Linked DNA regions of Callithrix jacchus. The protein of the gene in region 1 interacts with the protein of each later gene in a pairwise test. Links are inferred from orthologs where the notes say so. Each region holds a gene or a part of one and is shown in the gene's direction. Other genes may lie near its edges.

Region 1 (10,658 bases):
GCCTTGCCATTTGGTAGGTGGAAAATGATTGTGAATTCCTAACAGGAATTGTCACTATTGATTGTCACAAATCATTGTGAACCATCAAAGGAAAATAGAATTCAAGTAGTATAATTTAAAAATATCTATAGAATGAAAACTTTTTTCTTCAGAAACATTTTTTTTTTGGCCCTAATAATGGTAATTGTTTTCAGTTAAGGCACAGGAAGTTTGGGTATTACATTACTTCTTTTGAGGGAAAGTGGAATGGAGCAAGATCAGTCTCTGTACTTTCTAAATATGTTTATCATATCTACATAGTAACTTTAAAAGTGTTAATGTAAAACACTGTTAAGTAGTGGTGGCTGGATATACCTTCTTATGTAAAATGAATAATGAAATCCTTCATCTGTAATTGCAGAGTCCTTCAGTATCTCCTAATACGAGTTTCACATCTGATGGCTCCCCATCTCCAATAGGAGGAATTAAGCGAAAAGCAGAAGACAGTGACAGTGAACCTGAGCCAGAGGATAACGTCAGGTGAAGCCATTTTTTGGTAGCACTTTGTTAGCAAATTGCTGAAATAGATGCAGTCTAATTAATGCTATTTAGCTTAGAGCAGCAGTGCCTTCAGATGCTTGCCTGTGATCTTTTTATCCACCAGTAATTAATGTGGAGGGTTAGAAAAGTCAGTAAATTCCAGAGAGATGGGTAAGCTATAGCTGTTAAACCTAAGTGTCTAGATTAGTATGCGTGCAGGCTTTCGTCCTCCAATCCACTTTCCCCTCTGAGACCAGGCACAAGATCGGCTAGACATGAGGTGTTAGCTCTGACTATGTGATCTGAATGTGGCTGTTTGGAGACTGAGTAAAGTTTCGAGCTGCTTAACCTAGAAAGTTCGGTCAGTACTTAGACACTTAATATAGTTTGCTTTAATCTTCTCAATTGAAAAAGTTCTTCCTCAAAATGAAATATGCAGAAATCATTCTGTTAAGAGATCAATATGTATGTTTTTTAAAAACCACAAACTTGCATATGCACAATTATATTTCATGACAGAGGAGTTTCCCTTTAAGTAGATACTTCAAATTTATAATAGGAAGCTGGTTCTTTAATTCATCCTGAAGTTTGAGATCATTATATAATAAGATTAACAACCTCTCATGTAATTAAATCCAGATTTGAACCGTGGGCTCCAAGTGCAAAAGGCCAACAATCTCAATAATTGTAGCTCATTAAGAATTTAGGAAAACGATCTATTTCAAAGGTAAACAAGACAGTAGTCACCTACAGCTCATGCTTCTTTTACAGGACATGGAAAGTGTGTGATTTGTGTTTATGATTAAACTTTGCAAGGGTCATGTGTGGTTCTGCATTTTTCTAACATCCTTTGATATCAGATCCATGTCTACTTGTGCTCGAACATTTCCTCTGTATATCTTTAGTTTCTGTCCTCTACTTTCTGTACTTTGGATTTTCCCCTTAGAGCATGTCTTTGGTTTTGTTTACTATGTAGCCATCATGATCAATACTAGTTTAGTAGGTAACTTGATTTGTTTAGTATTTTATTGTTTAATCCTGGTGCTGAGGGTAATCAGAGTGGAAATGCCTCTACCAAAAAATGCTTGGGGCTTTTAGCATTTTTTCATTTATATTTTCTGTAAAATAGTGATAATCCATTTTATGGATAAGGGGATATTTCTAATTGTTCTCTGAATCCTTTGTATTGTGGGAGGGATATATTACAATTGATAATGGTATATTCTGAAACATGACTGCAATTAATATATGAAATCTGATACTTAGAAAAGATGCCTAAATGAAGATTCAAGAGAATCATCTTGATGTTCTTGATCTGTTCCGATGTTTTAAAAAGTGTTCTTTGGCTTCTTCATGTTCCTTAAATCAAATGTTAAATCTTAAGAATAAGAAATGAATTCTTAAAAAAACACAATATATTGGGTGAAAATGTAGTTGGTCACATTGTATTTTCAGTGATGAATGATAATTTAGTGGATTCTTTGACCTGCTTCTAGATTTTACTGTAACATACATATGTTTGTGTGTGTATATGTATACATAGATATATAGAGATATAGAATGTGTGTGTCTCTCTATATATATCTCTATCTCCTTTCCTTAAGCCATCAACAGCTCTTAGCTGAAAGAGGGATAAGGCCCAAGCAAGGATAGAGAGAGTAGGTATACACATAATTTCTGCCTAATGTCTAGATTATTCTTTTATGAACTATTTTTTATATTTAAAAAAGTTACCTGTGCAGTCTTAAGTAATTTAGTTGACTTTCTTTGTATAGTTTAAATATATTTTAATAAACTAAGGAACTTGAACTATATAAAATATCTTCAATATTTGAATCTTAAAATGTAGCTTTAAAATTGTACAAAGAAACATGTAAAGCAATATTAAAATTTGAGCAAATGTGTTCTGTATCTTTTTCAATAACATTTTTTAAAATGTGGTTTTATAGTGGTCTTAGCAGAATCAGTGATTGGGGTGTTAGTGTTTAATTGTCTTTAAGTTGATAATAAATCCTATGAAATTAGACTTTTTAGAAATAATGAAAAAGAAATAATGAAATGAATCTGTGTTAGCATGACTGTTTTCCTTTTTCATATTTCCCCTGGATGTTAAATATAAATTGAATTGGGGTGTAAATTGGTAGACAGCCTGTTACTGAAGGTGTGTTAATTCAGCATAAATGAGCTGTGCCTGGTTTTAGGTTATGGGAAGCTGGCTGGAAGCAGCGGTACTATAAGAACAAATTTGATGTGGATGCAGCTGATGAGAAATTCCGTCGGAAAGTTGTGCAGTCTTACGTTGAAGGACTTTGCTGGGTTCTTAGATATTATTACCAGGTACAAAAAGAATATTTTCCTCTGAATTTGTAGTCAATATTTTAAGAAAGATACTAATTTCTTTTTTTTTTTTTGAGATGGAGTCTTGCTCTGTCGCCCAGGCTGGAGTGCTGGGGCACAGTCTCAGCTCACTGCAACCTCTGTGCCTCTGCCTCCCAGATTTAAGCATCTCATGCCTTACCTAGCCTTCTGAGTAGCTGGGATTACAGGTGCATGCCACCACACATGGCTACTTTTTGTATTTTTAGGAAAGATGGGGCTTCACCATGTTGGTGAGGCTGGTCTCAAACTCCTGACCTTGTGATCCGCCCGCCTTGGCTTCCCAAAGTGCTGGGATTACAGGCGTGAGCCACCATGGCTGGCCTAGTAATTTCTATAGTAATAGATATTATTGAGCTGTATTCCGAAAACAAACCCAGGCTCATTTTTTAAAGTTTTCTATTCAGAGGTTCATAATTGTAAATGTTTGTGGAGACTTTGAAGCTTCTTAGTTATTAATATATAAACAAAGCTAATTTTTGTTAAAATTATTTCAACATCAAGTAATGTGGTTGACTGTACTTTGTCTTTAAGATGATCAGAGTTCAGTGCTTTTTAAATTGGAGTTTAAAAATAACTGAGTAATGAATTGACAGTCACTAAATGACTGAAAAAAGGAAAAGCCTGAAAAATACCAGTAAGAATTCTAAAGGAATTTGAATGCTACCATCTTTATAATATAGTGATGATACATGAAGTGCATTCTAACTGGAATAACCTGTATTCTCCCTTTTGATGATTGAGATGTCAGATTGGTGAGCGATTAGGTAGACATACTGAGGACTGTTAACACTGATAGTTAGTATCTGTTTTGTACTTAGAGAGCAAACCAGATTAACTTTGGTATGACCTGGGAATAGACGAAGTTTGTTGACAAGTAGAAAGTAGCACAGTGCACTGAGTATTGACTGTTAAGTACTCTGTTAGCATGTTTTACTCTTACTATCAAGATTTAAATTCACTAGACACTGTCAAAACACATCTTAGATCTCTCTTTTCTATGAGTATAACTTGTTTTATTTTCTTTTTGGTGTGTTTACTCACGTGTTTTTATAGGCAAAAGAAAGTTGTCATGTGAAAATACAATGGTGAATTGTAAAATGAAACTCGTGGCTGTTTTACTGTCAGACACTTTTCCAATAATGTCTCTAACCACCTTACATGCTCAGTAAATGTCAGCTACAACTGCTCTTGGTTTTATTTGATGATGATAGCTCTAGAGATGGAAAGAAATGTCACTATGTATTTTAAAGATAAAAATCTTCACCAAATTCTGTTTGCGAATATAAAGTTTGACATTAACTACTGATTTTTCAGAGATGCTTTGCAGTATTTTTAAAGTCAAAGAGCCATTGATATGAATTAGAAACTTCAAACTTAAACAGGTTTTAGGAGTCATGGAAAAGATAGTATTTGGAATATATACCAGAAGTTGTGTGTTTTGTAAATAGAATATTATAGGTTAACAGTCTAATTTTTGCTTTTTTTAATTGTCTCCATCATTAACATAGGTTTTCCTTTTTGTTGTAACTTTTTAATGATTCTAGGGCTGTGCTTCCTGGAAGTGGTATTATCCATTTCATTATGCACCATTTGCTTCAGACTTTGAAGGCATTGCTGACATGCCATCTGATTTTGAGAAGGGTACAAAACCGGTAAGCTTAATTATTTAAAGTCATAAAATTTACAGAATTTTGGATTAGATCATAATCTTGGGTATTTAACTTTTTTATTTTTGCAGTTTAAACCTCTGGAACAACTTATGGGGGTTTTTCCAGCTGCAAGTGGTAATTTTCTACCTCCATCATGGCGGAAGCTTATGAGTGATCCCGTGAGTCTCTGTATTTTGAGTATGTGGGTAACAGGATTTTCATCATACATTTTATTAATATTGAAACAGTGAAGTACAGAAACAAAGTATTTTGAGTTTTTTGTATTTTTTTTACTCCACATACACATATTTTTCTTACTTTCTTTGGCCCTGCACAGTAGATAAAATCAGTTTGTTTTTGGGAGAAGTTTTTATAACAGTCATTTTGTTCTCTGGCTACCTGTAAGTCTTTAACTTTATTTATTCCAGCCGTATATTGTAGCCACCAAAGATAGGGAGACTGCCTTACACCAAGTCACCTATGAACTTGTTTTATATGCTAGCTGGAAAGAGTGAGCCCCAGCAAGGAAATAGGAAGTGTTAGAGTATGTAAAACCTTTACTGTCTGCCTGCCTGTGGCCCATAGTTGTCAGTTCTAAAATTCTTCTACAATAATGCTTTTCCGTTGCATCTTTTAGAATAAATTGTTCATTTTGTTTTACTATATTTGTGATTAATGACCTAATGTCTCTTAACATTTTTTAAAAGGAATGCACTTTATTTTCTCATCAGGTCTTATAACTTGAATGAATCCTATCAAATTCTTTATAACAGAGATGTGTGACTTCTGTTTTGATTCTTTACTTTTCTCCCCGATACAGGATTCTAGTATAATTGACTTCTATCCTGAAGATTTTGCTATTGATTTGAATGGGAAGAAATATGCATGGCAAGGTAAAATTTAGATGTTCTTTTCTGGTAAAACTGTAAACACAGTTTTTGAAATGAAATAATTCTGTAAAAGATAAATATTTTAGCCTGGGCATCATAGTGAAATCTCATCTCTACAAAAAAATACAAAAATTAGTGTGGTGTGGTGGCTCACACCTGTAGTCCCCTCTACTTTGGGAGGCTGAGATGGGAGGATCACTTGAGTCTGGGAGGTCTAGGCTGCAGTGAGCTTTGACTATGCCACTGCACTATAGCCTGGGGGACAGAATGAGGCACTGTCTCATAAATAAATATTTAAAAAGGTAAATATTATAAGAATTGTATGTGAAATGTTAATATTTCTCCATCAACTTGGGATTAGCAATGATTAGTAGTAAATTTAATTATAACATTGTTATATGTAAAATTTCAGTGCTGCCAAAGAAATAACACTCGAATATAAATTGTCTCAACAAGGTAATTTACATCTATAGAAGGGTGCCTCTCACAGATAGAGCAATGGTGAGCACACACTTGAACAGGGGAGGGGAAGAGGTTTTTATCCCTGATGCAGCCCCTGCTGCTGTGTCATTCCCCTGTTGGTTAGGGGTAGACCGCACAATCTAAGCTAATTCTGACTGGCTATTTTTTTTTTATTTTTTGAGATGGGGTTTCGCTCTTGTTACCCAGGCTGGAGTACAATGGCACGGTCTCAGCTCACCACAACCTCCGCCTCCTGGGATCAGGCAATTCTCCTGCTTCAGCCTCCTGAGTAGCTGGGATTACAGGCTCGCGCCACCATGCCCAGCTAATTTTTTGTATTTTTAGTTAAGACGGGGTTTCACCATGTTGACCTCGTGATCCACCTCCCAAAGTGCTGGGATTACAGGCATGAGCCACTGTGCCCGGCCAGGCATGACTAGCTATTTTTAAGAGAGCAGGGATATGAGCCAGAGTCGCGGGGTAAGTGGTTTGGTGGGAAAATCGGTTATGGTACAGGTATTTAAAGGTGTCTCAAGGTTAGATCAGTTGACCATGGGTGACTCAGGTCAAAGCAGGTGCCTGGAATGAGTCAGGACGGAGCACGGGACCAGGGGAACAGATGTGAACTACTGATTAGAACTGGTGGAAAAGGCTGATTACTGAAAGTACAAGGAAGTTAAACTTAAAAATGGAGGACAAAGGACTGAACATACTGACATACTGATTCTTTGAAGAGAAATTCAGAACTCATTTCATCCAACAATTCCCTCCTCTTGAATTTTCTTCACAGCTTTCTCTTCAAACTTCCTTAGCATGTCTTGGCTTGGTTGTTCTGCTTGATTTTCTAAAAGAAGAAGCTTCTCTGAATAAGGTAGAGGGATAGTTAAGGGAGGTTTTAGTAAGTGTGGCTTCTTTGAGTCTCTGCACTAACCCATGGATGCATGGTATGATACAACACCCGACATGAATGAGTACACCCACTACGGCTGTAAGAGAAGTAAGAATTGAGGCTGTCGTTCCTATCCATTTACCAAACCATTTTCCTAGGCACCCTGTGTAGGGGTCATTTACCCTAAATTGTTGGCTAACTCATTGGACAGAGCCATTAGACCTTGCAATGCCTTTGTTATACTTCCATCGGGGGCAGTATTGTTTGGAATGAAGGTACAACAGTGAGTTTTAATCATGATGCAAACTCCTCCTGTCTCTGCTAGTATCATGTCTAAGGCTATTCTGTTTCCAAGCCGTCGGGCTGCTGGCTCCTAATTGCTCAACTATTCCTTTAACAGCACCTCCAGTGTAGTTAATAAACTGCTCTTGGTTGTAACAAATGTAATTTATCCAATCTACATTTTTATTAACTGTCACCCACCAAAATACGGGCTCAAATCCTGCAGCTGTTTAATCATGGGCTTTAAATTTATCTGCTACTCCTGTGGGACTCCAATTGCATCTAAATAGACATGAGTCAAAAGACCCATAAGGGGTTTCTTTTGCTTTATGATGTTGTATTTTTTCTTCCTCTGGTTGATGAAATGCCAGGGTGAAAGGGATAGCCAGTTGGATTAGAGCACAAGTGCCACTCCAGTTACTTGGCAGAGTGTCTAGTAAAAGTCAACCCCAGTACCACTACACATCTGCTTGGGGATGACCAAGGGCTGACTGATTGGTAAGCTCTCGAAAATTCTTCAGCTCACTGCATCCCTTTGGGTCTCCATGGAATGCTAAGTTTCCTCCTTGTTGTGAGAGACACCAAGTGAACTTAGTGTAGGGAGATGGAAGCTGCATGGCCGTCAGGGGCTGACCCTCAGGGTGTCGAACTTCGGGCTATGGCAGAGAGTTTGTTCTGACCTGCTACCCTAGGCTGTGGAATCCTGGAAAAGAGCTACCGTGCAGCGCATGCCTGGTCAATTAGAAGACCATCCTAATGGAAAGGGGACAATCTGGGCCTCTGGCCTGTCATGCACACAAGCATAACAATTGCTTTTGTTTAACGTGCAGATGGAATATTTGATCCATTTCAACCAGACATTTGCATTTTGCTATCCTGTCTCAACTGACAAATTTTTGTTTTAAGTCTTTAACTTCTACAGTAACTACCTTGGTCTTGTCATTAGATGGAGGAGAAACAATTGTTTTGTTGTGAGAGGTTTTGGAAGCAGGCTTAGAGGTTAGGGTAGGCAATGGAGGGTCAGTGAAACATATTTCAGAGGTTCTGATAGGGTCTTTTTTTGAAACCTCAGCCCCCATACCATAAAACCAACTTAAAGAAGGGAACTGGCTTGGATAAGAAGGGGGAGAACTTTGAGGGTTTGAAATGATAACCTGTATAGGATTACAATGATTTAGCTGACAGGGGAAGCTGTTCCTTTAGTAAAATGAATGTATGGTTTTAGGAAATTACAACTACTGATTGGGGCAGTCGCTCCTTGCTCTTTAGTGGTCCACAGAACGTTGGACCAACTATGGCAAAAAAGCTCTATATAGGGGTCAGAGGCAAGACTCCCGGTTGATAATGGGGTTGTCATCGAAATCTTCCCAGACTGAATGGTCCCAGTTCACTAATGTCCAGTCTGAGGAGAGTCAGAAATGACAGAGGTCCTTTTCTGAGGTGGAGAGCTTTCTTTGACTTGACAAGTGTCCGTAGGATATAACAAGGCAAGCATCAAATGTAATAGCTTGAGGCAAAGTTGACTTGGTTACATTAATGTCTGGATGGTCAGCAATAGAGCAAGGAGAGAAGAAAGAGTAATAGAATAGATGAAAGAGCTAAATTTTTCTTAGCTTTAGTTTGGTAAGGTTTTCTCCTGGGACTATGGCCCATGTTTCCAGAGGGGGCGGTGCTTTCTTGCCTCGGGTGTGATGGGTCCATCTTCTCTCCGCCATCTGGAATGAGGTTTCAGTAATTAGGAACACTAAGTAAGGTCCTTCCCAGGCTGGCTCGAGCTTCTCTTCTTTCCAGCTTTTGATGAGGACCTGATCCCCAGGCTGATGTTGATTCACCAAGAACTTCAGGGGCAGTGCCTGTGCTAAGAGTCCTTTAGTTTTAAGAGAAGAGAAAGTAGAAGATAGATCAAGTATATCATTTGTAAGGAATTGATCTTTAGTTTCAAAGGTAGGAATGTCAGCAGTGGAGTGTAAATAAGGCAATCCATAGAGCATCTCATAAAGAGAAAGACCAGTATTTTTCCACAAGGCAGTTCAGATTCTCAGCAGGACAATAGGAAGGTACTTTGTCAATCAACTGAATCTCTAAGACTAATTTGGTTAAGTGGTTCATTAAAGTTTGACTCATTCTTTCTACTCTTCCTGATGAGGGTGGGTGCCAGGGAGTATGGTATTTCCATCTAATGTCTAATGTTTGGGTTAGCTTTTTAATGCTGTGTGTGGTGAAATGAGTTCCATTGTCTGAGTCAGTATTTTCTATTAGTCCAAACCTGGATACTGATTATCAGTGAGGGCCTTGACTACATTATTGGCTGTTGCATTTGAAAAGTGGATAGCTTCGACCCAGTAAGTGAAGTTACCTTACCTACTATCACTAGTAAATACCTAATATCACTAGTAAATACATTTCTGTGTAATTAACTTGGATGCTTTGGAATGGTCTTAAAAGCCTGGATTCCTTCCCCCGAGGGGTCATCTTTTTATGGTTTGCTTATTAGTTTTCTTACATACTAACCAACTATCTGTAACCTGTGTGGCCAAAGTATACATTCCTATATAACTGTAAACTCTGAGAACTGTACCACACATGGCCTCGGGCCCCCAATGGGTCCCGTGATGTCACGGGATAAGATTTTCCTCATAAGGGGTTTAGACAACATTTTTTTCTGGTCTGGTAATATCCATTTTCCTTCTGAATTCTCTGTAGCACCTATTTAAATTAGTTTTTCTTTCTCAGTGGAAAAGAACATGGGGATTACGGGAGGAGGAGGGAGGTAGGGAGTTAAGTGAAAAATACACATTTCAGAAGAATCAGCAGCCTGTTTTGTGGTTCTGCTAGGTTATTTCTTCGGCTTTCAAAAGAAAGGCATTTCTGGTCTCCAGGAGCATAGACAATAGCTGTTTCTTCCAGCAACTGAAGATTATTCAATACTTGGGTGATTAGCTCCTTGTGAACAAGGTCTTGACCTTTACTATTAATGAGATCTTGTTTAGTCCAAATTGTTCCAAATGTATGGGCCACTCCAAAAAGGCATACTTGGAATCGGTATAGATGGTTCCTTCTTGGTTCTGTAAGTAAGTACCTTAAGGCTTGGCTGAGTGCAAACATCTCAAACGTTTGAGCAGACCAACTGTTAGGCAGTTTTTCTGACTCTGTTTCTATAAGAGTCTCCGTCAATTATTGAATGCCCATTGTGTCTTTTCCCTCAATTACCCGGGAGGAACTGTCTGTGAATAAGTGCTGTCCAGTCCTGAAGGACTAGGTCTGGTTGAACCTTTGTATGGTAATCAGTTAAATGTAAACATGTGTGCTCTCTACTTAGCTTTGGATTCCGTTAGGAAAGCTGCTGGGTTGAGTGAATCATCAGTGGTTAATGTTAAATTATCTTTTTCTAACAGAATGGCCTCACCCTTTAAGATTCGTGAGTCAGTAAGCCATCTCTTTGCTTTCTGATTCTAACTTGGTGAGTTGTGCTTACTATCAGTTTTCCTCCAAAGGTTAGCTTTCTCTTTCTTCGACTAATATTGCCATAGCCACAATGGATTGGATGCATTGAGACCATCCACAAGTGACTGGATCTAAGACCTTTGA
Region 2 (11,253 bases), on another chromosome or scaffold:
CTGCTAAAAATACAGAAATTAGCCAGGCATGCCTACCTGTAGTTCCAGCTACTTAGGAGGCTGAGGCAGGAAAATAGCTTGAACCCAGGAGGCAGAGGTTGCAGTGAGCCGAGATTGTGCCACTGCACTCCAGCCTGGGCGACAGAGCAAGACTCTGTCTTGAAACAAATAAAATGCTGCGGTTCAAATGACTTTTGACAATCAGTGCTGTAAAGCTGAATCCCAGAGCTAACTGAGACAGGAGCAGGAGGATCTGTGGTCCAGCCTCCCTCTGGCCTTCAAATTCTCTTCCTGATTGAGTTACTGACCTTCCTTAAGACAGTGTTTGCTTGTCCTCCCAACTCACCTGAAAATTTTTCTTTTTCTTTTTTTTTTTTTTTTTTTTTGAGATGGAGTTTCGCTCTTGTTACCCAGGCTGGAGTGCAATGGCGCGATCTCGGCTCACTGCAACCTCCGCCTCCTGGGTTCAGACAATTCTCCTGCCTCAGCCTCCCGAGTAGCTGGGATTACAGGCACGCGCCACCATGCCCAGCTAATTTTTTTGTATTTTTAGTAGAGACGGGGTTTCACCATGTTGACCAGGATGGTCTCGATATCTTGACCTCGTGATCCACCCGCCTCGGCCTCCCAAAGTGCTGGGATTACAGGCTTGAGCCACCGCGCCTGGACGCCTGAAAATTTCTTGGGAGAAGGGCCAGCCTTTGGGGTTGTGTTCCTGTGTGACCTGTCCCTAGGAGCTTCTGCACACCCAGCTCTGCCCACCTGCAGCCAGCACCCAGGACTCCACAGCACTACCCGCACTAAATGCCTCAGTCTCAAGCTTGTTGCAGGGAATGGCCAGGGCAGTGGACATAGTGCAGAAGTTTAGGGTCTGACCAACCTGGGACAGCAATTTATGGGCTAGTGACATCCTTCAGCAGCTGTATAAACTCAGGCCTGCCATATGGTCTATGAGCCTCAAATTTTTCTTCTGTAAAATGGGAATGATAAAACCAACTTCACTGGACACGGTGGTTTATGCCTGTAATCCCAGCACTCTGGGAGACTGAGGCAGGTGGATCACTTAAGCTCAGGAGTTGGAGGCCAGCCTAGGCAACATGTCAAGACTCTGTCTCTATTAAAAATAACAAAAAGTAACCAGGTGGCATGCACCTGTAATCCCAGCTACTTGGGAGGCTGAGGTGAGAGGATCACTTGAGCCTGGGAGGTAGAGGCTGCAGTGAGCCATAATGGCACCACTGCACACCAGCCTGGGTGACAGAGGGAAACCCTGTCTCAAAAAAAACCAAACCAAAAAAACCAAAAACCCTGGCTCACGCCTGTAATCCAAGCACTTTGGAGGCCAAGGTGGGCAGATCACCTGAGGTCAGCAGTTCAAGACCAGCCTGGCCATCATGGCAAAACCCTGTCTTTTAAAAAGAAACTAATTCTAAAATTTAAAAAAAAGTAAAAAAAAACGAACAACAGCAACAACAACAAAATGACTTCTCCCCCACTGTGGCTGGGTGTATTAATTGAGATGAATCAGATCTCTGTGGCTTGTCCTGTGTTTCACAATGTTAGTGACCATCAGGGTCCATCTGTCGAGCCTCATTCCATGTGCAGGGCCATTTCTGGGGGTGAGTAAAGGTCACTAATTATATCTGCCTTCAATCCTTCCTCCCTTATCCCTTCAAATCAGTTCAGACATAATCTGCTTAATATGAACAGCAGGCATCAGAGATGGACTTGCAGGATTTACTATTTATTCCCTGGAAAGTCATAAAAAGCATCAACCAGATGGCCTGGGTTCAAATTCCGGTTCCACCACTTATTGGTCATGAGAGCTTGGGCAGCGCTACTTAATCTCCATGACTCACAATGGCACCTACCTGACAGGGTTGTTAAGAGGATAAAATGAGTTAATACATAAATATAAAGTACATGGCCAGGTGTGGTGGCTCACACCTATAATCTCAGCAGTTTGGAGGGCTGAGGTAGGCGGATCACTTGAGCCCAGGAGTTCAAGACCAGCCCGGGCAACATGGAGAGACCCTGTCTCTACCAAAAATGCAAAAAAATTAGCTGAGTGTGGTGGTGTGCACCTGTGGTCCCAGCTACTCGGGAGGCTAAGACGAGAAGATCGCTTGAGTCCAGGAGTTGGAGTGAGCCGAGGTCACCACACTGCACTCTATCCTGGGTGACTCTATCCTGGGTGAGACCCTATCTTAAATAAATAAACAAATAAATAAATACTTTGTGTAAACATTTCTTACTGTATGTCATTAAATTATTAATGTATATACAAAGAAACATAGTTACCAATTAAACTATGACACAATATCATCAACTGGAACTGGAACTGAAATCACATACTGATTCCAGAAATGTGAAACAAAGGCTGGGTGTGGTGGCACTTTGGGAGGCCGGTGTATCACCTGAGGTCAGGAGTTCAAGACCAGCCTGGGCAAAGGGGTTAAAATACAAAAATTAGCCAGGCATGGTGGTGCATGCTTGTAGTCCCAGCTACTCAGGAGGCTGAGGCAGGAGAATCGGTTGAACCCGGGAGGTGGAGGTTGCAGTGAGCTGAGACTGTGCCACTGCACTCCAGCTTGGGCAACAGAGTGAGACTCGGTCAAGAAAGAAAGAAAAAAGAAAGAAAGAAAGAAAGAAAGAAAGAAAGAAAGAAAGAAAGAAAGAAAGAAAGAAAGAAAGAAAGAAAGAAAGAAAGAAAGAAAGAAAGAAAGAAAGAAAGAAAGAAAGAAAGAAAGAAAGAAAGAAGAAGGAAGGAAAGAAGGAAAGAAGGAAAGAAGGAAAGAAAGAAAGAAAGAAAGTAAAAAGAAAGGTGGCTCGTGTCTGTAATCTCAGCACTTTGGGAAGCCGAGGTGGGGCAGATCACTTGAGGCCAGGAGTTCGAGATCAGCCTGGCCAACATATTTTTAGTCTCTACTAAAAATACAAAAATTAGGCTCGGCACAGTGGTTCATGCCTGTAATCCCAGCACTTTGGGAGGCCAAGGTGGGCAAATCACAAGGTCAGGAGTTTGAGACCATCCTGGCCAACATGGTGAAACACTGTGTCTACCAAAAATACAAAAATTAGCTGGACGTATCTCAGCTACTTGGGAGGCTGAGGCTGGAGAATCACAGGAACCCAGGAGGCAAAGTTTGCAGTGAGCCGAGATAACAAAGCGCTACTTTGTGTCACGTATCTTCTGAGTACTCACATACTTAACAGCTGCACTGCAGCCCAGACAACAGAGTCTCAAAACGAACAAACAAAACAAAGCCAGGCATGGTGTCTTTGCATTCCTATAATCCCAGCTATCCTTCCAACCTGGGAGGTGGAGGTTGCAGTGAGCTGCAGATCGCTCTAGTGAGACTCCATCTCAATCAATCAATCAAGTGTGCCTTAAAATAGATGAAATACTGTATTATTATATTATTATTAGAGGGCTGGAGCCAGAACATGTTAGCATTTTGTGCCTCGAGATTCAAACCGTAGGTCTACCATTTACTCCTTAGGTGACTTTTGTTTTGTTTTGTTTTAAGAGATGAGATTTTACCATATTGGCCAGGAGGTCTTGATCTCTTGACCTTGTGATCCGCCCGCCTCGGCCTACCAAAATGCTGGGATTACAGGCAGCAGCCACTGAGCCTGGCCAACTTTTTTTTTGGCGGGGGGACAGGGTCTCACTCTTTTGCCCAGATCGGAGTCAAGTGGGGCGATATTGGCTCACCGCAACCTCTGCCTACCTGGTTCAAGCAATTCTCCTGTCTCAGCTTCCCGAGTAGCTGGGATTACAGGCGCACGCTACTATCACCCTATCCTTGGGTGACTTTAAGCAAGATACTTGATCGCTCTGTGCCTCAGTTTCCTCACTCGCAGAATGAATATCAATAGTTCCTGCCGCACAAAACTGTTGGGGCTATTAAGTATGTGAGTACTCAGAAGATACGTGACACAAAGTAGCGCTTTGATTGCTATTATTAGAACAAAGTTATTGTTTCCAGGTTTGGAGGTGGGCTAGCGGAGGGAGGAGAGGACGCAACCGGCAGCCTTTCAGAAAAGGAGTCCGGGTCTTACCCTGCTTCCCAAGTCTATTTGGCCCGGGATCCCGAGCCCCGCCCCCTCCAGGCCCCGCCCCACCCTTTTTGGCCGAGCCCCTGCGCTACTCTCGCGCGCTTTGAAAGTGCGCGAGCTCCGAACGAGACCCGGGCTGGCGGTTGGTCGGCCGAAACCATCTGCTACGTTATGTGGGGGGAGGTCAGCGCCTACACAGCCACATTTTTTTTCGATTTTCAGCTTTTCAGGCCTAGTTCCTGGTCTTATTTTAGCTCTCGAGCTTCTCTGTAGGCTCGAATTTCGAGAAGGCAGCCCGAGTCCCTGGGAAGAGGGTCATCGTGGCTCTCCTCGGCGCCCTCCCCCTCTTGACAAGCGCTCGGTGGGAGAGGACGCCGGCGGGCAGAGGGAGGAGGCGGCTCTAGCGCCATTTTGTGGGAGCGAAGCGGTCGCTGGGCTGCGCTTTGGTTCGTCGCTGCCTCGCTGTCCCTGTCGGGCTTCCCAGCAGCGGCCTAGCGGGTGAGTCGCGGAGCCTTCTCAATGAGGACGCCCTGGGTGTCTCGGCTCCCGCATTGGGGCAGCCCGAGGCGGACGCAGCGGCTTCGGCCCCTGCCCAGGGAAATGAGCCGTGAGGCCGGGCCTCGTCCTGCCCGAGCGGACTCGCTCGGGAGCGTCGTTAGGTCCTGCCGCAGGAAGGCCGCAGGCGCCGAAAGCGGGACCCTGCCCGCGCTGCCGCGCAGCCTGAGGCGAAGGTTTGCCTGGTCCTGAATAGTGCCGGCGCCTTCGGTACTTTGCAGTCCGGGGACGCTGCCAGCTCGGGCCTTGGTGCTCCTGCGCCCCACCCCGGGCCGCGCTAAGAAACTCCTCCCAAGGCTGGCACGCGCGGGTTTCTGGGAGGCGAAGGCCGGCACCGCCAGGATCTGTCGCCGCCGGCCTTGCGGCTCGGGCTTGTAGAGCCCCCGGAAAGCCCCAAAATGAGGAATGGAGAGGACTCTTCTGCTGTTTTTTACACCTGGTTCACTGCTTATATTCAGTCTTCAGGTTCAGCTGATGCATCACTTAATTGGGAAAATCGACCTTAACCCATCATGCCCATGCCTCAGCCTGTTAGGCTCCTCTCCTGACTTCAGGATTACATAACGACTTCCGCGACTGTCATAAAATAGCTACTGTTATTCTCCTGCATACCCCAGCTTGTAACCAGCAAACCACGTTGTACTCAGCAGTTACAGTTGCAATACCTGACATATCATAAGCCCTCAGGGAAAGTTTGTTGATTGAATGAACTGGCGAGGCATCAGATTTTGATAGGAAATCACTACCCTTACCTTCCCCTCGTCATTTTTCAGGGATACTAGTGCATATACGAATCCAGAGAAGAATTTTTCTGGAAGTTAGAACACTAACGTGGTGTAGGTATTAGCATTAGAAGGAAACCATTACTCTGGCGTGAATGTTCATTCATTTCTCTTTTCCTTTTAAGAAAAGTAAAAGATGTCTGAATATATTCGGGTAACCGAAGATGAGAACGATGAACCCATTGAAATACCATCGGAAGATGATGGGACCGTGCTGCTGTCCACGGTTACAGCCCAGTTTCCAGGGGCCTGTGGGCTTCGCTACAGGAATCCAGTGTCTCAATGTATGAGAGGTGTCCGGCTGGTGGAAGGAATTCTGCATGCCCCCGATGCTGGCTGGGGAAATCTGGTGTATGTTGTCAACTATCCCAAAGGTTTGTTACCATTTGGTTTTGTAATCGTGCTGAAGCGTAGTCAGGTGTGTGTCTCATCCATGGGTCATGGCCTCTTTGTGGCGGCAGGTCTCCTGTAACTTAAGTATTTTCTTGAACTTCACAATTAGATAAGTTTGGAAAACCATGAGTCTAAATTTGTGGAAACTGGGGATCATATATCATTTTAAAAGAGAGAACGATGTATTTAAAAAATATTTTAATAAGCTTTGCCCAGTTTCTGCCACGTAAGGAGTTACTAAGAATGCTTGGGACTTGTATCAGTGTTGTAAGTAGATTCTTCTACAGTGCTCCAGTATTTGGGTTTGTTCATTGTCCTTTTGGTCTTAACATCATTCATTCAGGAAATCTGACTTCATTTTTTTCCTTAAATAAACAGCAGTTGCAGTAGCCAAATCTTGAATTAGTGCAGTTCCAATTACAATTTTGAGTTTGTTCATTGTCCTTTTGGTCTTAACATCATTCATTCAGGAAACCTGACTTCATTTTTTTCCTTAAATAAACAGCAGTTGCAGTAGCCAAATCTTGAATTAGTGCAGTTCCAATTACAATTTTGAGGTTCTAGTCTTACCCTTTTTGCTTCATTTTATCACTGATGTTCTAAATCTGAGAAAAGAAAGCATGATATTTTAAAAATGTGCCAAGGAAATAGCTAATTTCAGCAGTATGAATGTGTGCTATTAGTTGATCTGTGTTGCTTTTATTATAACTTGATATTGCAACAAAGTCCATCAAATTTGGTCAGTATGCAAGATGTTAATTTACATGTCTAGAAAAATTTTAGGGCCTGGTGCAGTAGCTCACACCTGTAATCCCAGCACTTTGGGAGGCTGAAGTGGGTGTATCAGCCAAGGTAAGAAGTTTGAGACCAGCCTGGCCAACATGGTGAAACCTGGTCTCTATTAAAAACACAAAAAATTAGCCAGGCTTGGTGGTGGGTGCCTGTAATCCCAGCTACTCCAGAGGCTGAGGCAGGAGAATCGCTTGAACCTGGGAGGCCGAGGTTGAAGTGAGCCGAGATTGCACCATTGTACTCCAGCCTGGGCAACAAGAGTGAAACTCCATTGCGAAACAAAAGAAAAAAAAAACAAATTAGCCAGGCACCTATAGTCCCAGCTACTCTGGAGGCTGAGGCAGGAGAATTGCTTGAACCTGGAAGGTGGAGGTTAGTGACCTGAGATCATGCCATTGCACTCCATCCTGGGTAACAGAGCAAGACTCTGTCTCAAAAAAAACACAAAGAAAAAAGAAAAATTTTAATAATGTTAACTCAGGGTTTTTAGTATGCTGTTTCTTGAGCAATTGGGTATAGAAATACTTACCCAAATTTAAAATGTCAGGCTGGGTGCACTGCCTCCCAGCACTTTGGGAGGCTGAGGCAGGCAGATCATCTGAGGTCAGAAGTTCAAGACCAGCCTGACCAACATGGTAAAACCCCGTCTCTATTAAAAATACAAAAATTAGCCATGTGTGGTAGTTCACACCTATAGTCTCAGTTACTTGGGAGGCTTAGGCAAAAGAATTGCTTGAACCCAGAAGGTGGAGGTTACAGTGAGCTCTTGCCACTGCTCTCCAGCCTGGGCAGCAGAGCGAGACTCCATCTCAAAAGAAAAAAAAATGTCATTTAATATCTCTCCCCAGGCTGGGCATGGTGGCTCATGCCTGTAATCCCAGCCCTTTGGGAGACTGAGGTGGATGGATCAGCTGAGGTCAGGAGTTAAGAGATCAGCCCGGCCAACATGGCAAAAACCCATCTCTACTAAAAATACAAAAATTAGCTGGGTATGCTGGCAGGCACCTGTAATCCCAGCTACTTGGGAGGCTGAGGCAGGAGAATTGCATGAACCTGGGAGGTGGAGGTTACAGTGAGTGGAGATTATGCCACTGTACTCCAGCCTGGGTGACAGAATGAGACTTCATCTCAAAAAAAAATTCTCTCCTCTTGTAAATAACCTAAGGTTAAGGTTATGTTTTATGTTTTTTAAGTAAGCCAAACTTTTGGTTTCTTTCTCTTTTTTTAAATTAGAAATGGGGGCTCTTGCTGTGTTGCCCAGGCTGGAGTGCAGTGGCTATTCATAGGTTTACTGCAGCCTCAAACTCCTGACCTCAAATTGTCCTTCCTCCTCAGCCTTGCAAGTTGCTGGAACTACAGGCATACACATCACTGTTCCTGGTTTTCTTTTTTATTAGAAAAGTAATGTGTATTCATTGTTGAGAGTTTAGGAAAGATAAAAGTTAGGCCTGGCGCGGTGGCTCATGCCTGTAATCCCAGCACTTTGGGAGGCTGAGGCGGGTGGATCACGAGGTCAAGAGATTGAGACCATCCTGGTCAACATGGTGAAACCCCGTCTCTACTAAAAATACAAAAAATGAGCTGGGCATGGTGGCATGTGCCTGTAATCCCAGCTACTCAGGAGGCTGAGGCAGGAGAATTGCCTGAACCCAGGTGGCGGAGGTTGCAGTGAGCCGAGATCGCGCCATTGCCCTCCAGCCTGGGTAACGAGCAAAACTCCGTCTCAAAAAAAAAAAAAAGAAAGAAAGAAAGATTAAAGTTAAATCTACTTCAGGAGATACAAGTTGCTGATTTTTTGTTATATAGCCCTTAAATTATGTAATAGGCATTCAGATAATTAGGGAAATTTAAAGTCAAAGTAAAATAGAGTTATTTTTGTTTTGATAAACCTTTTGAGAGGGAGAGATTGTAATCTGGAAATACTACAAAAAACAAAATTGGAAATCACTGAATTTGCACCAGAAAAGCACCTGAGACACTAAATGCAAGCCTTTATTCTGTCCTCTAGAGCAAACATCACTCCTTGCCAAGTTTTTGGTGTCTTAACAGTTCTTAGTCTTTTTTTTTTTTTTTTTTGAGACGGAGTCTTGCTCTGTGGCCCAGGCTGGAGTGCAATGGCACAATCTCAGCTCACTGCAACCTCCGCCTCCCAGGTTCAAATAATTCTCCTGCCTCCTAAGTAGCTGGGATTACTGGTGCAGGCTGGCTCATTTTTTGTTAGTAGAGATGGAGTTTCACTGTTGCCCAGGCTGGTTGCAAACTCCTGAGCTCAGACCATCTGCCTGCCGCAGCCTTCCAAAGTGCTAGGATTACAGGCATGAGCCACCACGCCCAGTCTTAAGAGTCTTTTTGCTTCTCATTTCTAGACGTAGGAGGTAGTGTTTTTAAAGAAGCGCTAAGTGAAAATTTCTAAAAGGTTTCTGCTCATTTTATTTAGATAACAAAAGAAAAATGGATGAGACAGATGCTTCATCAGCAGTGAAAGTGAAAAGAGCAGTCCAGAAAACATCCGATTTAATAGTGTTGGGTCTCCCATGGAAAACAACTGAACAGGACCTGAAAGACTATTTTAGTACCTTTGGAGAAGTTCTTATGGTGCAGGTAAACTTGGATTGCATCAAACATTTTTTTTTTTTTTTTTTTTTTTTAACCAGTGAATGAGCACCTAGCATTTATTTATTAATATAAATAAATAACAGATGGGGGTCTCACTCTGTTACCCAGGCTGGTGTCAAACTCCTGGGCTCAAACTGTCCTCCTGCCTTGACCCCAATATGCTGGGATTACAGGCATGAGCCACCATTGCCCAGCTGCATTCTTGTTAGGTTTGTTTTTGTTGTTGTTGTTGTTTTGTGTTTTGTTTTTTGTCGGTTTTTTTTTTTTTTTTTTTTTTGGTTTTTTGAGACGGAGTCTCACTTTGCTGCCCACGTTGGAGTGCAGTGGTGCAATCTTGGCCCGCTGCAGCCTTCACCTCCTGGGTTCAAGCGATTCTCCTGTCTCAGCCTCCGATATCTGGGATTACTGGCGCATACCATCATGCCTGGCTAATTTTGTATTTTTAACAGAGACAGGGTTTCACCTTGTTGGCCAGGCTGGTCTTGAACTCCTGACCTCAGGCAGTCCATCTGCCTTGATCTCCCAAATTGCTGGGATTACAGTTGTAAGCTACTGCGCCTGGTCGCATTCTTGTTATTTTAATGGCACTGTCCATGTTCCATAGATGATACTTCCAATATTTGTTATATTTATACATATATTTTGTACCCAATATTATTGCCTTTGATAATAAAGTAAAATGCACGAAGGCTTAAGGAAAGTAGATGATAATAGCATTTTTCTTTGTATTTTACACTAATGGGAGATTTTTCTGCTTTGTTTAATTAAGATTGTAAACAATTTAGTTTATATTTGAGCTCATTCTAAGATGTTCTATTAAAATTCTGTTGTGGCTCACGCCTGTAATCCCAGCATTTTGGGAGGCCAAGGTGGGAGGATGGCTTGAGGCCAAAAGTTCAAGACCACCTTGGCCAACATATCCAGACGTAGTTTCTCTCTCTCTTTTTTTTTTTCCCCCTTTGGAGACAGGATCTGACTCTGTTGCCCAGGCTGGAGTGCAGTGATGCAGTCTAGGTTCACTGCAATCTCCACCTCCTGGGTTCAAGCTATTCTTGTGCCTCAGCCTCCCAAGTAGCTGGGGCTACAGGCACATGCCACTACACCCTGCTAATTTTTGTATTTTTTGTAGAGACATGGTTTTACTGTGTTGCCCAGGCTTGTCTTGAACTCCTGTGCTCAAGCGATCCACCCTCCTCAGCCTCCCAAAGTGCTGGGAATACAGGCGTGAGCCACCGTGCCTGGCCCAATCTCTTTAAAAATTCAAAATCAAAAACATTTCTATTGTATAAGTGAGTTTTGCTCTATATTGTTAACAATATGGATTCAGTATTAACCTTATTTTTACTCTTAAGACTAACTTGGTTTAAATTTTAAGCCACTGTATCCAATTGAAACCATTCAAATTATTTATTAAGGAACTCTGATTTGGGAGTGGAGTGTGTGAGTATGTGTACTTTTAGAGTAAACTTAAATTGTCCTTTCTAGGTCAAGAAAGATCTTAAGACTGGTCATTCAAAGGGGTTTGGCTTTGTTCGTTTTACGGAATATGAAACACAGGTGAAAGTAATGTCACAGCGGCATATGATAGATGGACGGTGGTGTGACTGTAAACTTCCTAATTCTAAGGTACTTGCTTCTGTGCTGTGAGAATTTTTACGAACAGACTTCCTTAGAAGATTGTAAGATAAAATGTTAAATGCACTTAGAAAAGATAGTGGCAGGGCATATTCTTTGAATCTTTTTGTCTCGTTGAAGCCTTAGGGCTGTAATGCATGCTGAATATTTTATGCTTGTTGCAGATATTTAGTTTATTACTTCTTCAAACTAAAGCTTTGTTCATTTTGTTCTTTTTGTTATGGATGTGAAAGAGAAAAGGTTATTTGTCAAGTTAAGTTTCCTTACATAGTTATATGTTAAAACATGAAGACAATCAGAATATATATATATATATTAATCTTGTTATAAAATCTAACTTTGTCCAAGCAAACAAGTAACATCTGCTTATTTGGCACATCATCATCTTTGCCAGGAGATTGGTCATTTATTGATTTTC
Region 3 (10,658 bases), on another chromosome or scaffold:
TAAAATCAATGAGAAAACACCAGTAATTTCACAGTAATTACAATTATTGAGACTACATGGGTTAAGACCAGCAATTCAAAGACAAAATCTTAGAATGGGTTTCATACAATTCAGCAAATGTTTTGTGTAGGTGTCATTTTTAAAATATGCAAATAGACTGAAAACATAGAATAGTAAAAAGATAAGCTGGGTAAAATGGAACTAAAAGAGTGTTGGAATAACCATGTTAATATCAGAGAAAATAGACTTTAAGGCTAAAATATCATATAAACAATGAAAATTGTCATCTATAGAAAAGAAGCAGTTAGAAAATTTAATGATTGGAACCCCTAGGTATCTAAAATCATAGTCTGAGACTCATAAAACAACCAATAAAACTGTGGGATGAAATGGAAGAGTCAAGAATTATAGTTGGAAATTTAAAACACTCATTTCTGAAACTCACAGATGAAGCACACAACAAAAAAAATAAAAATTTTAATGACATAATATACCTTCGCTTTACACTCAGTGAACACAATGCTCATTTGTGGACACATATGGAAAATTTACAACAATCAATGAAGTACTAGGTGATAGAAGAAGCCTCAGTTAATTTTACACAGTTAATTCTGAACCAGTATGCAATAAAATTAGATATTAATCTAACAAAAAGGGAGGTGAGAAAAAATTCTTCTGTTTAGAAACTGAAAAGCATACCACTATACAGCCCTTGAATTAACAAGGAAAACATTAAGAAAGACACGAAAAAGCTGTCTGTAAAATCTGCTGGACAATAATGCTGTAAATTCTAAAAATAAATATAAAGCAATTACAGAAAAATATTATGAACTGATGGTTTTATGATAGGCCCATAGATGTTTGTTAAATTATTTTTGGTATTTTTCTGTATATTTAAAATATTTAATAATTAAAAATTTAAATAAACATATATTGAACATGGTTAAAGTATTATTCAGACAAAAATTAAGAGCTTTAAATATATTTATTATAACATTAAAATATCAAGAGAGGAAAATAAGAAAAAGAAAACAAGTGAGTTAAGTGTTTATCAGAAGCTAATAAAAATTAAGATAATCCAAATGATGGGGAAAATGGAAATATAAAGATAGGAACAAATCAATAAAATAGTGCACAAAAATCAATGTGAAGATTAACAAAGCAAAAATTTGTTCTTTGAAGAGGTTAATAAGATAGCAAACCTTTGATAAGACTAAATAAGATAAATCAGAAAAAGAATAAGTAAAACATATGCCTAAAAGGAGATCTATAAACAAGTAACTTTTAAAATCGTTTTTAAAATTATGAACAAACATGTAACAATACATTGGAAATTCATTAGAAAGTGGATTAATTGGATGGGCGTGGAGGCTCACGCCTGTAATCCAGGCACTTTGGAGGCCACCAAAATGGGCAGATCACCTGAGGTCGGGAATTCAAGAAAGTGGATTAATTTAGACGGTGTCTGGTGGCTCACACCTGTAATTCCAGCCCTTTGGGAAGCTGAGGTGGGTGGATCACCCATGAGGTCAGGAGATTGAGATCGTCCTGGCCAACATGGTGAAACCTCATCTCTACTGAAAAAACAAACAAACAAGCTGGATGTGGTGATGTGTGCCTGTAATCCCAGCTACTCGGGAGGCTGAGGCATGAAAATTGCTTGAATCCCGGAAGCAAAAGTTGCAGTGAGCTGAGATCGTGCCACTGCACTCCAGCCTGGTGACAGAGCAAGACTCTGTCTTAAAAAAAAAAAAGAAAGAAAAGAAAATAGATTAATTTATATAAAGGTTATATAAAATATTTAAATGGATGGAAGAATAAATGGAAAAATTGAATAGAGTGTAAAGGTTAAAGATATTGAAGTGGTAATAAAATGGCTCCTCCAACAAAACCCTTGGGAAAAGGATAGGGAACCCAAGAAAGGAATAAACAGGCAATGAATATGAAAGATAATGCACAGAAGAAAGTCTGAGTGGCTATGAAATGATCCTAGTGGAGAAACGCAACTTCAGACAAGATCCCACCTTTTACCTATTAGATTGGCTAAAATTAGGAAAATGAAAATACCAAAGTGCCCCCAAATAAGGACTGCTGTTTCCAATGTGCATCAGACCCCATTCCTGTACTTCTGCTCCAGTGCATCTCAGAAAATCTGTTCCCTCTCTCACTCTCCTTCCCTCCCTTCCTTCCCTTTTTATTTTCTTCCTTTCCTTCCTTCATCCTTTTCTTATTATATTTTTTCTCTTTTTGTTATTTTAGATTGGCATAGACATAAAATACATACATCACAAATGTACAACTTGATGAATTTTCACTAAATGAATTCATGAAACCATCACCATCAAGAAATAAATTGCTTCTTGTACATGAGAAGTCCCATTATGCCTCTCCCATTGTCAATCACCACGCCTAGCCTATTTTACTTGGATTTTTGAAGAAAGTTCAGAATGGTTGCATAATTCTAGATTGGCAGTTAATTTCTTTCAGCATTTTAAAGATGTTTGATTGTCTTCTACCATTCACTGTTTCTGTCACCCATACTTTTCTTCCCTTGAAGTTAATGTGCCTTTCTTTTCTCTCACTGCTTTTAAGAGTTTCATTCTGTCTTTGGTGTTTAGAAGTTTCATTATGATGGGCCTAGGTGTGTGTTTTCTTTGATCTTTTCCTATTTTGAGTTGTAGTACTTCCGAAATGTGTGGTTTGATGTTCATTGTCAATACATGATATTCTTTGCTGATAATCTCTTCTAATATTACTTCTGCCTAATTCCTTGTTTTTCCTTCTGATCTCATTTATGGATGTTGGCTTTGGGAGAATCCATATGTCTAAAAAAAATAGGAAACATGTTGGAGAATGTTGATGGAGAACTGGAATACATAAAAGAAAATCAAATTAAAAGTAACTGAAATTTAGAATACAACAGTGGATTGAATAGCAGAGTAGAGACAGTAGGAGGAATGATTATTAAATGGAAGTTAAGTCTATAGAAAATATCTAGCATGAAGCTGTCTGGATGGATGAAAATATATATTTTCATTGGCAATTCCTAATTTTTGGCTTTCCAAAAAAATCAAAATTTTTGTCAACATTGAATTTACATTTCTTACAGTTTCAGTGTGCCTGAGCTGATGGGTTGATGATATGTGCTCCATATACAGGGATATGTCTTCCTAACTAGCCAGGGTCACTCCTTTCTATTGTCTTCTACCACTGAAGCTGAATATTAGTTGTTATGCTTTGTATCATCCCTTCCCTGCTTTGCACATTTACATTGTATGCTGGGCATCGTATGTATTTAAATTCATGATCCATGTTGAAGATGGTATAAAGATACCAAAAAATGTGAAAGAGATTTGGAACTGGGTAGTAGGCAGAGGTTGGAACGGTTTGGAGGGCTCAGAAGAAGACAGGAAGATGTGAGAAAGTTTGGAATTTCCTAGAGACTTGTTGAATGGCTTTAATCAAAATGCTGATAGTGATATGGACAATGAAGTCCGGGCTGAGGTGGTGTCAGAGATGAGGAACTTGTTAGAAATTTGAATAAAGGTGACTCTTGTTTTGCTTTAGTAAAGAGATGGGCAGCCTTTTGCCCCAGCCCTAGAGATCTACAGAACTTTGAACTTGAGAGACTGATTTAGGGTATCTAGTCGAAGAAAGGCCTAAGCAGCAAAGCATTCAAGAAATGACTTGGGTCCTCTTAAAAGAATTTATTTTTATGCATTCACAAAGAGATGATTTGCAATTGGAACTTATGTTAAAAAGGGAAGCAGGGCATAACATTTAAGAAAATTTGCAGCCTGATGATGCAATAGAAAAAATTCCATTTTCTGAGGTGAAATTAAAGCTTGCTGCAGAAATTTACATAAGTAACAAGCAGCCAAATGTTAATCCCCAAGACAATGGGGAAAATGTTTCCAGGGCCTGTCAGAGGTCTTCATGGCAGCCCATCCCACCACAGGCCTGGAGACCTATGAGGAAAAAACAGTTTCTTGGGCTGGGCCCAGGGCCTTGCTGCTTTATGCATCCTCAGGATTTGGTGCCTGTGTCCCAGCCATGGCTAAAGTGGCCATTGTACAGCTCAGTCTGTTGCTTCAGAGGGTGCAAGCCTGAAGCCTTGGCAGCTTACATGTGGTGTTGGACCCGTGGGTACACAGAAGTCAAGAATTGAGGTTTGGGAACCTGTGCCTAGATTTCAGAGGATGTCTGGAAATGCCTGGATGTCCAGGCAGAAGTTTGCTGCAGGGATGGAGCACTCATGGAGAACCTCTGCTAGGGCAGTGTGGAAGGAAAATGTGGGGTTGGAGCCCCCACACAGAGTCCCTGCTGGGGCACTGCCTAGTGGAGCTGTGAGAAGAGGGCCACCATCCTCCAAACCCCAGAATAGTAGATCCACTAATAGCTTGCACCATGCACCTGGAAAAGCTGCAGATACTTAGTGCCAGCCTGTGAAAGCAGCTGGGAAGGGGACTATGCCCTGCAAAGCCATAGGGGTAGAACTGTCCAAGAACATAGGAATCCACCTCTTGCATCAGCATGACCTGGATGTGAGACATGGAGTCAAAGGAGCTTTCAGAGCTTTAGGATTTGACTGCCTGGCTGGATTTTAGAGTTGCATGAGGCCTTGTAGCCCCTTTGTTTTGGCCAATTTCTCCCATTTGGGATGGGAGCATTTATCCAATGTCTGTATCCCCATTGTATCTTGGAACTAACTAACTTGTTTTTTATTTTACAGGGCTCCTAGATGAAAGAGACTTGACTTATCTCAAGTCTCTTTCTTATTTTACAAGGTTTCTAGATGAATGAGACTTTGGACTTGGAATTTTTGGCTAATGCTGGAATGAATTTAGACTTTGGGGAACTGTTGTAAAGGCATGATTGGTTTTGAAATTTGAAAGGGACATGAGATTTGGGAGGGGCCAGTGGTGAACTAATGTGGTTAGGCTTTGTGTCCCCACCGTATTTCATCTTGGATCAAGATCCCCATAATCCCCAAATGTCAAGGGAGACCAGGTGGAGGTAACTGAGTCATGGGGACAGTTTCCCAGTGCTGTTCTCAGGATAGTGAGATCTCACGAGATCTCATGGTTTTACCAGGGGCTCTTTCTCTTTTTGCTCTGCACTTCTCTTTCTTGCCACCATGTGAAGAAGGTGCCTTGCTTCCCCTTCACCTTCTGCCATGAATAAGTTTCCTAACGCCTCCCCAGCTACGCTGAACTTTGGGTCAGTTAAACCTCTTTCCTTTATAAAAACAGTCTTGGGTAGTTCTTTATAGCAGTATGAAAACAGACTAATAAAATACAGTCTAGCAATAGAGTGGAGAACAACGTAGTTATAAGCCCTACCCTCAGGGGGAAAAAAACCCAATAATCACATAAATAATTGGAACTGTGATAAATACTCCGAAATAAAAGTAAAAAATGCTAAGAGACCCATCATATTTTCCAGTTGGAAGGCAGATAATGTTTCCCCCTAAAAGGTTATTTAAGCCGAGTTCTGAAGATAACATGATTTACTCAGATGAAGGCCTGGGTATATGTGTGTTGGTGGGAAATGGATGGAGAGAAATGATCTAACTTGGAAGAGTTGGTCAGGCCTGAGGAGTCAAAGCAAGCCAGTAGGGCTGAAAACGGTTATGAGCAGAAGCCGTGTCGTACTGGTTGCTGAGTTTCGAAAAATACATAGGATTTTGGATGCCTTTGCAGACCAAGCAGCCAAGGACCAGCACGTTTCATGGTAACTTGATGGTGTACAAATCTGGTCCCTCTGATGACTCTTCTAGTTGAAATAATTCATCACTGAGAATTTAAGTCATGAATTAGAAGATGACTAGCTGACATTTAGCCAGATAGACAAGCTATTGACTTGGTATGATGAAATATCACTGAGTTCATTTTTATGCCTTTGTTTCCTCTCTGTCTCAGCTGCAAGTGTCCACTGCTTGGAAAAGTGTGGGAAGCTGACTTGGAAGCTTGTCGATTGCTTATCCAGAGGCTACAACTCCATGAAGCCAAGGGCAGCCTGTCTGTAGAAGATGAGGGGCAGATGGATGACCTAGTGGGAGCTGTCTGTTCAGCGGCTCCTCCCATTCCCCCTAGGCTCCACTCTGAGGATGAGAGGAAGACCCCTTTGCAGGCCCTGGAAGAATGGAAGGGTCACCTGAACCCCTCTCTGCACTGGGCTGGAGGCGAACAGAAAGAGGTCTGTCCTTTCCACATGGTGTCCAGAGGGGACCCTATTCTAAGGGGTGCTTTGGGACCATGCTCCAAATAGAAACAATTAATATTGGGAGGGCTTCCCATTGAGCTATATAAGCTTTTAAAAGTTTCAATAACTCTTGAATATGATTACAAAAAAATGTAGAATTTTTGTAGAAGTTTGAAATACAGAAGAGCAAAAAAACCCAGCTTTTGGCATATATAGTTCCACTTTCATTCTAATTTAGTGGCTAGAATTAGAATATGCAGTCTAATATAGAATTACCATATATAGCATTATATATGTCATATATATGACAGTTATATACACTATAGAGTATATATGCCATAATGACATTAAATATATATACTATAAATTATATGTCATGTGCCATATGTGATATTTAATTATATATTTAGAATCTATATATTACAATACGTTGTTATTTATTTGAATGAAACATTCAAATATATGTATATATCCCATTAATTCTTTTTACCAAAACCAGATCATAATGAATGCTTATCATGTTCTTCTTTCATATGCACAACTAAAGTTTGGCCTGAGATCTATGTATTACAAATTAAAATATTATTTTATTTAACTTTCTTTTTTTCTACCCTCTTTCCCCTCTCCCTTCCCCTTCCTCTCCTTACTTTTGCCCTCCCACCCTAACAAGAGTCTTTTCCATAAAAAGCCCCTAGGAAGTTTTTCCTGATTTCAGTGCCATGACCTGAGGCTTCAGAGCTCTTTGTCAATCCAGGTTCCCAGGTGTTCTAAGTGTGAAAAGGGAAAAGCATTTAGAGGCTGGAGGAACATGACACATGGCCTTCAAGTCTGATGGTTGATGTTAGGTGTTGGCTGTGCCTCCTTTCTGGGTCTTTGCCAAGACTCACCACTGGTGGGTGGGGAAATTGCCACCTCCCCAGGCCCGCCCTGGCAGCCTCACATCTCATCTACAGGATGATGGCCTTCACAGAGCAGACACTTGTGTTCTTAGTCACTGCCTCTGGACTGCTTGGAAAATTGATCCTTAATCCTATATTTGGATGGCATAGTCTTATAAGATAGCAACCATTGCACTCTGAATCCCTGCTGGCCCAATCACAGGCACTACATTAACTTACAGACATCTGAACTCTTTTTTTAACCCAGGTACTGCAGGTGGGAACCTTCAGGAAAGCCTGGCCTCCAATGCTCTGAGGAGAGGTGTTGAAAACTTACCACCTGCTGCAGGAGGATGGCTTGAAAGAATATTCTGGGGTGGAGGGAATGCCACCTAAGCAAGGATTTCTTGCTGGGTGGAAGAAACTGCAGGTTCTGGGAATGAGTCTTTGAAGGTGTGGCTGGCTTTCCAAAGTGAGCTACCAGGAGCTCAGTGTGGGACTGTGAGAAGCCAAGCCAGGTATGTGATGGGAGTCCCTGGGTCATTGATTCTGCTGGAGGCCAGGACTGATTCAGCAGAGATCCCTTCCTCCTGGAGGGGAGAAAAAAAGTATCTTTTAAAAAATCCATCAAAAGGTTCACAGCTGAGGCACCTATACAGACAGAGTAACAAGAGAAAAATATACAAATTTGTTCAATATAAAATGTATGTGACACAGGAGCCTTCAGAAATGAAAACCCAAAGCAATAGAAACCAGTGTATTTTTGTGCTTAAATTTGATGAATAGCAGGCAGATGTGGAGAAATATTATTGGACAAAAGGTGTATGATGTAAATGGCAATAAACTGGGGGAAGCTTAGTAAGGCCTGCTTGTTCAGATTCTTCACTGCATCCCTGTGTCTTCAGAGATAAGGATATTCCTTTCCTTTGGGCATAGTGTGTACACTTTAAAGATGAGGGTGTTATAATCTACTTTAGAGGAAGGTCAGAGAATTATTTATGGCCTGCTTCAGAAGAGAATGGCTGCAGAAGGTCAGAGAGACTTTCCTGCTTCTGCTGTTCCTCAAATGCCAAGGTGCCATATTTTGGGGCACTGTGCCCCATCACTCTCTTTCAACCTCTCTTTCTCCTTCTCTGCTTTACCAACTGAGCCCTAAGCCTTCCAGGCTCTCTGGGGACTGACTTTCCCAGGCATAGGAGGATTAGTTTTCATCCATATGATTGTAAGCACCTGTCAATTTCACTATCTGGCTATAAGAACACAGAGCTGTATTTGTGGAAAAATAGAAAGCTTAGGGTCAAAGATGAATAAAGAGAAGAGCCTTATCCTAGGTCCTGTGATGGCTGCTGTTTGGGAGTTCCAGGGGGTCCCTAGAGAGCCTTCCAGATCCTCTCCACCAACTGAAATGCTAAGGATGTCCTGTAGTTTATTTGTTGCTTTCTTGGGGGTGGGTGCGTGCTTTAGAGGGGTCTTTATAGCTTTTGCTGCCTTTTGGTATCATTTCCCTGTTCCTGTATCGCAGTGGTGGGTTTATATTTACAGAGAGAGCAGCCATTCTTTGAAGTCATGAGTGTCATGGATTTTAAGATGATGTTTTCTGAAAAGTTCAAAATTATGGGTCCAGAAAAAAGATCCGCTGTTTCCAGGAAAGGGGAAGGGACTCATTTACAAGAGCAACAGAAAGGAATTTGGTGTATGGAAGTTGGGGGCAGGATGATAAAAGTATTCTCTTTCTCAATTGTGGTGGTGGTTTTGTGACTATGCGTATGTCTAAATTCATAACTTCACACCAAAAAGAGTGAATTTTACTGTGTATGACTTTACAAAAAAGATTTAAAAAATGTTTTAGACGTCTACCCATTTAAAAACCAGACTATAGATGTTTGAGTCAGTTGCTTTTGTCTCAGGACTATCAAAAGGCAGTTTGGCCTGCTGGAAAGAGCCCAAGGCTGGAGTCTGAGTTTGCTGTGATCCCCAATTAAGTCTCTTACAGGCCGCATCTCCTCATCTGTTAAGAAAAACACCACCATCTCGATGAGAGGATAATGAAAACTGTCTCAGGAAGCTGTGCTGAAGATTTAAATAAAAGGATGCATCTCAAAATGAGACACACATACATAGTAGGAGCTAATTTGTGTTAACTTGTGTTTCTGTCACTCTTTCTGGCAGTCACAAACATCTAAAATGCTTCTTGTGTGCAGAATGCTAGAACAGCTATTTGTTTGGGAGAGGGTGTTGCATGACTCGGTCTCCAGGCTTAACTTCCCCTCTTGTATAAGGAGTTTGGGGAGCTCGAGATTTTGAAATTTTCCTTTACATGTATAATATACTCTGATTTTTGTCAAGAAGCAGATGTGAGCAATGAGTTAGTGGAGGATATCTAGACAGAGAAAGGTTTAATGAAGCAAAACCTTCCTGTTTATATTCGGGTCTAGGATTTTAGACTACTGAAGGTACAAAAAATGATAGCAAGGCTCTCACTGGGAAGGTGTTTTTGTTTTCCTGCCTGTCTTTTCCAAGGAGTCATTGAAGTCTGGGTACTTTGCATTTATCCTGTGGCTAAAATGTCTATTAGCTTTGCAGCTCTGCGTTGGTTTTGCTTTGGAACTCCCTGCTGGGTCTGACCATGCTATACTGGTTTCTCTACTGAAGCTTGATGCCCTGAAGGCAGTCAATTTCTTTTTGACTTACATCTTTCATGAAAAATTGCTGACTTCTTACAGAGGTCCACAGGGAGATGAGTTTTCAAAGCCTTTTCCATGAGTATCTGGCCAATGTGGTGATGTGCATTCTGGTGACACTTTGTCATCAGAAGGACTTTGTCGTTAATTAACACCTTCCCCGTGTCTACGGTCCTCGCTGGGCTGCTGAGCACCATTCCCCCATTTTACAGCTGGGCCCATTAAGGCAAAGCAATTTGCTTTGGACTCTGTTACAGAGGAAGTCCGCCACGGGGCTCAGTGCCAATCTTAGCATGAACTTCCTCAAATTGTAAGAGCCCTTTTCCAATTTCACGACAGCTGTCCTCCAAGCCTTTTCAAGGACTCTGGAAATGATCAGCTGCCATTGGCCCTGGTTCATAAATGTTACAGAAACTGTATTTGGGCCAGACAGGAGCCAGGGAAATCGGTGAGCCAGTGAAGTGGCTCTTTTGTACTGACTGTTCTGGCAATAATACCTGCGTAATTCTTTTATTTCCTGTCTGTAACCCGGCCTGTGGGGTGTTTTCTGTTTCTACTACTGTTTCTACATGACGTGCTCCCTGGACAGTATCATTCCTCCCAGACTTCTCATCCCAGCTGCTTCCTTTCTGAGCCAGTAGCTCCCACCAAAGAGGCCAAAAGAGGACCTGGCAATGTTGAGTCATCGCATGCAATATGTGAGTGCCAGTGTGTGAACACAGCTGCAATGAAAGGAATTAGCAATAAGACAGAACCCAACCATGTAGCCTCATTTGTTCAGATTTAGGTCTTCAAAAAGCGTTGTAAGTTAAGGGGTGGAAAGGTGTGATACCTTTCCTCAGCCATCGTAAGGGCTAACGCTCCTATTACAAAAACAAGTTAACAACAGAAAAAC

The links.
Region 2: the proteins of XRN2 (region 1) and TARDBP interact in binary tests that used the Homo sapiens proteins (3 or more experiments, as listed by UniProt). The link is inferred for Callithrix jacchus from reciprocal best matches to the Homo sapiens genes XRN2 and TARDBP.
Region 3: the proteins of XRN2 (region 1) and DISC1 interact in binary tests that used the Homo sapiens proteins (3 or more experiments, as listed by UniProt). The link is inferred for Callithrix jacchus from reciprocal best matches to the Homo sapiens genes XRN2 and DISC1.

What each region holds. Positions count from the first base shown.
Region 1 is NC_133506.1:28,364,804-28,375,461, forward strand, and holds part of XRN2 (5'-3' exoribonuclease 2), read left to right. Parts: intron 1-400; coding exon 401-519; intron 520-2,720; coding exon 2,721-2,856; intron 2,857-4,442; coding exon 4,443-4,550; intron 4,551-4,636; coding exon 4,637-4,726; intron 4,727-5,367; coding exon 5,368-5,440; intron 5,441-10,658. UniProt on the Homo sapiens protein: Possesses 5'->3' exoribonuclease activity. May promote the termination of transcription by RNA polymerase II.
Region 2 is NC_133508.1:48,883,218-48,894,470, forward strand, and holds the start of TARDBP (TAR DNA-binding protein 43), read left to right. Parts: upstream 1-4,475; 5' UTR 4,476-4,560; intron 4,561-5,524; 5' UTR 5,525-5,535; coding exon 5,536-5,773; intron 5,774-9,021; coding exon 9,022-9,185; intron 9,186-10,685; coding exon 10,686-10,826; intron 10,827-11,253. UniProt on the Homo sapiens protein: RNA-binding protein that is involved in various steps of RNA biogenesis and processing.
Region 3 is NC_133520.1:52,932,788-52,943,445, reverse strand, and holds part of DISC1 (disrupted in schizophrenia 1 protein), read left to right. Parts: intron 1-5,921; coding exon 5,922-6,198; exon of another isoform or gene 6,199-6,799; intron 6,800-7,350; coding exon of another isoform or gene 7,351-7,398; exon of another isoform or gene 7,399-7,940; intron 7,941-10,658. UniProt on the Homo sapiens protein: Involved in the regulation of multiple aspects of embryonic and adult neurogenesis. Required for neural progenitor proliferation in the ventrical/subventrical zone during embryonic brain development and in the adult dentate gyrus of the hippocampus.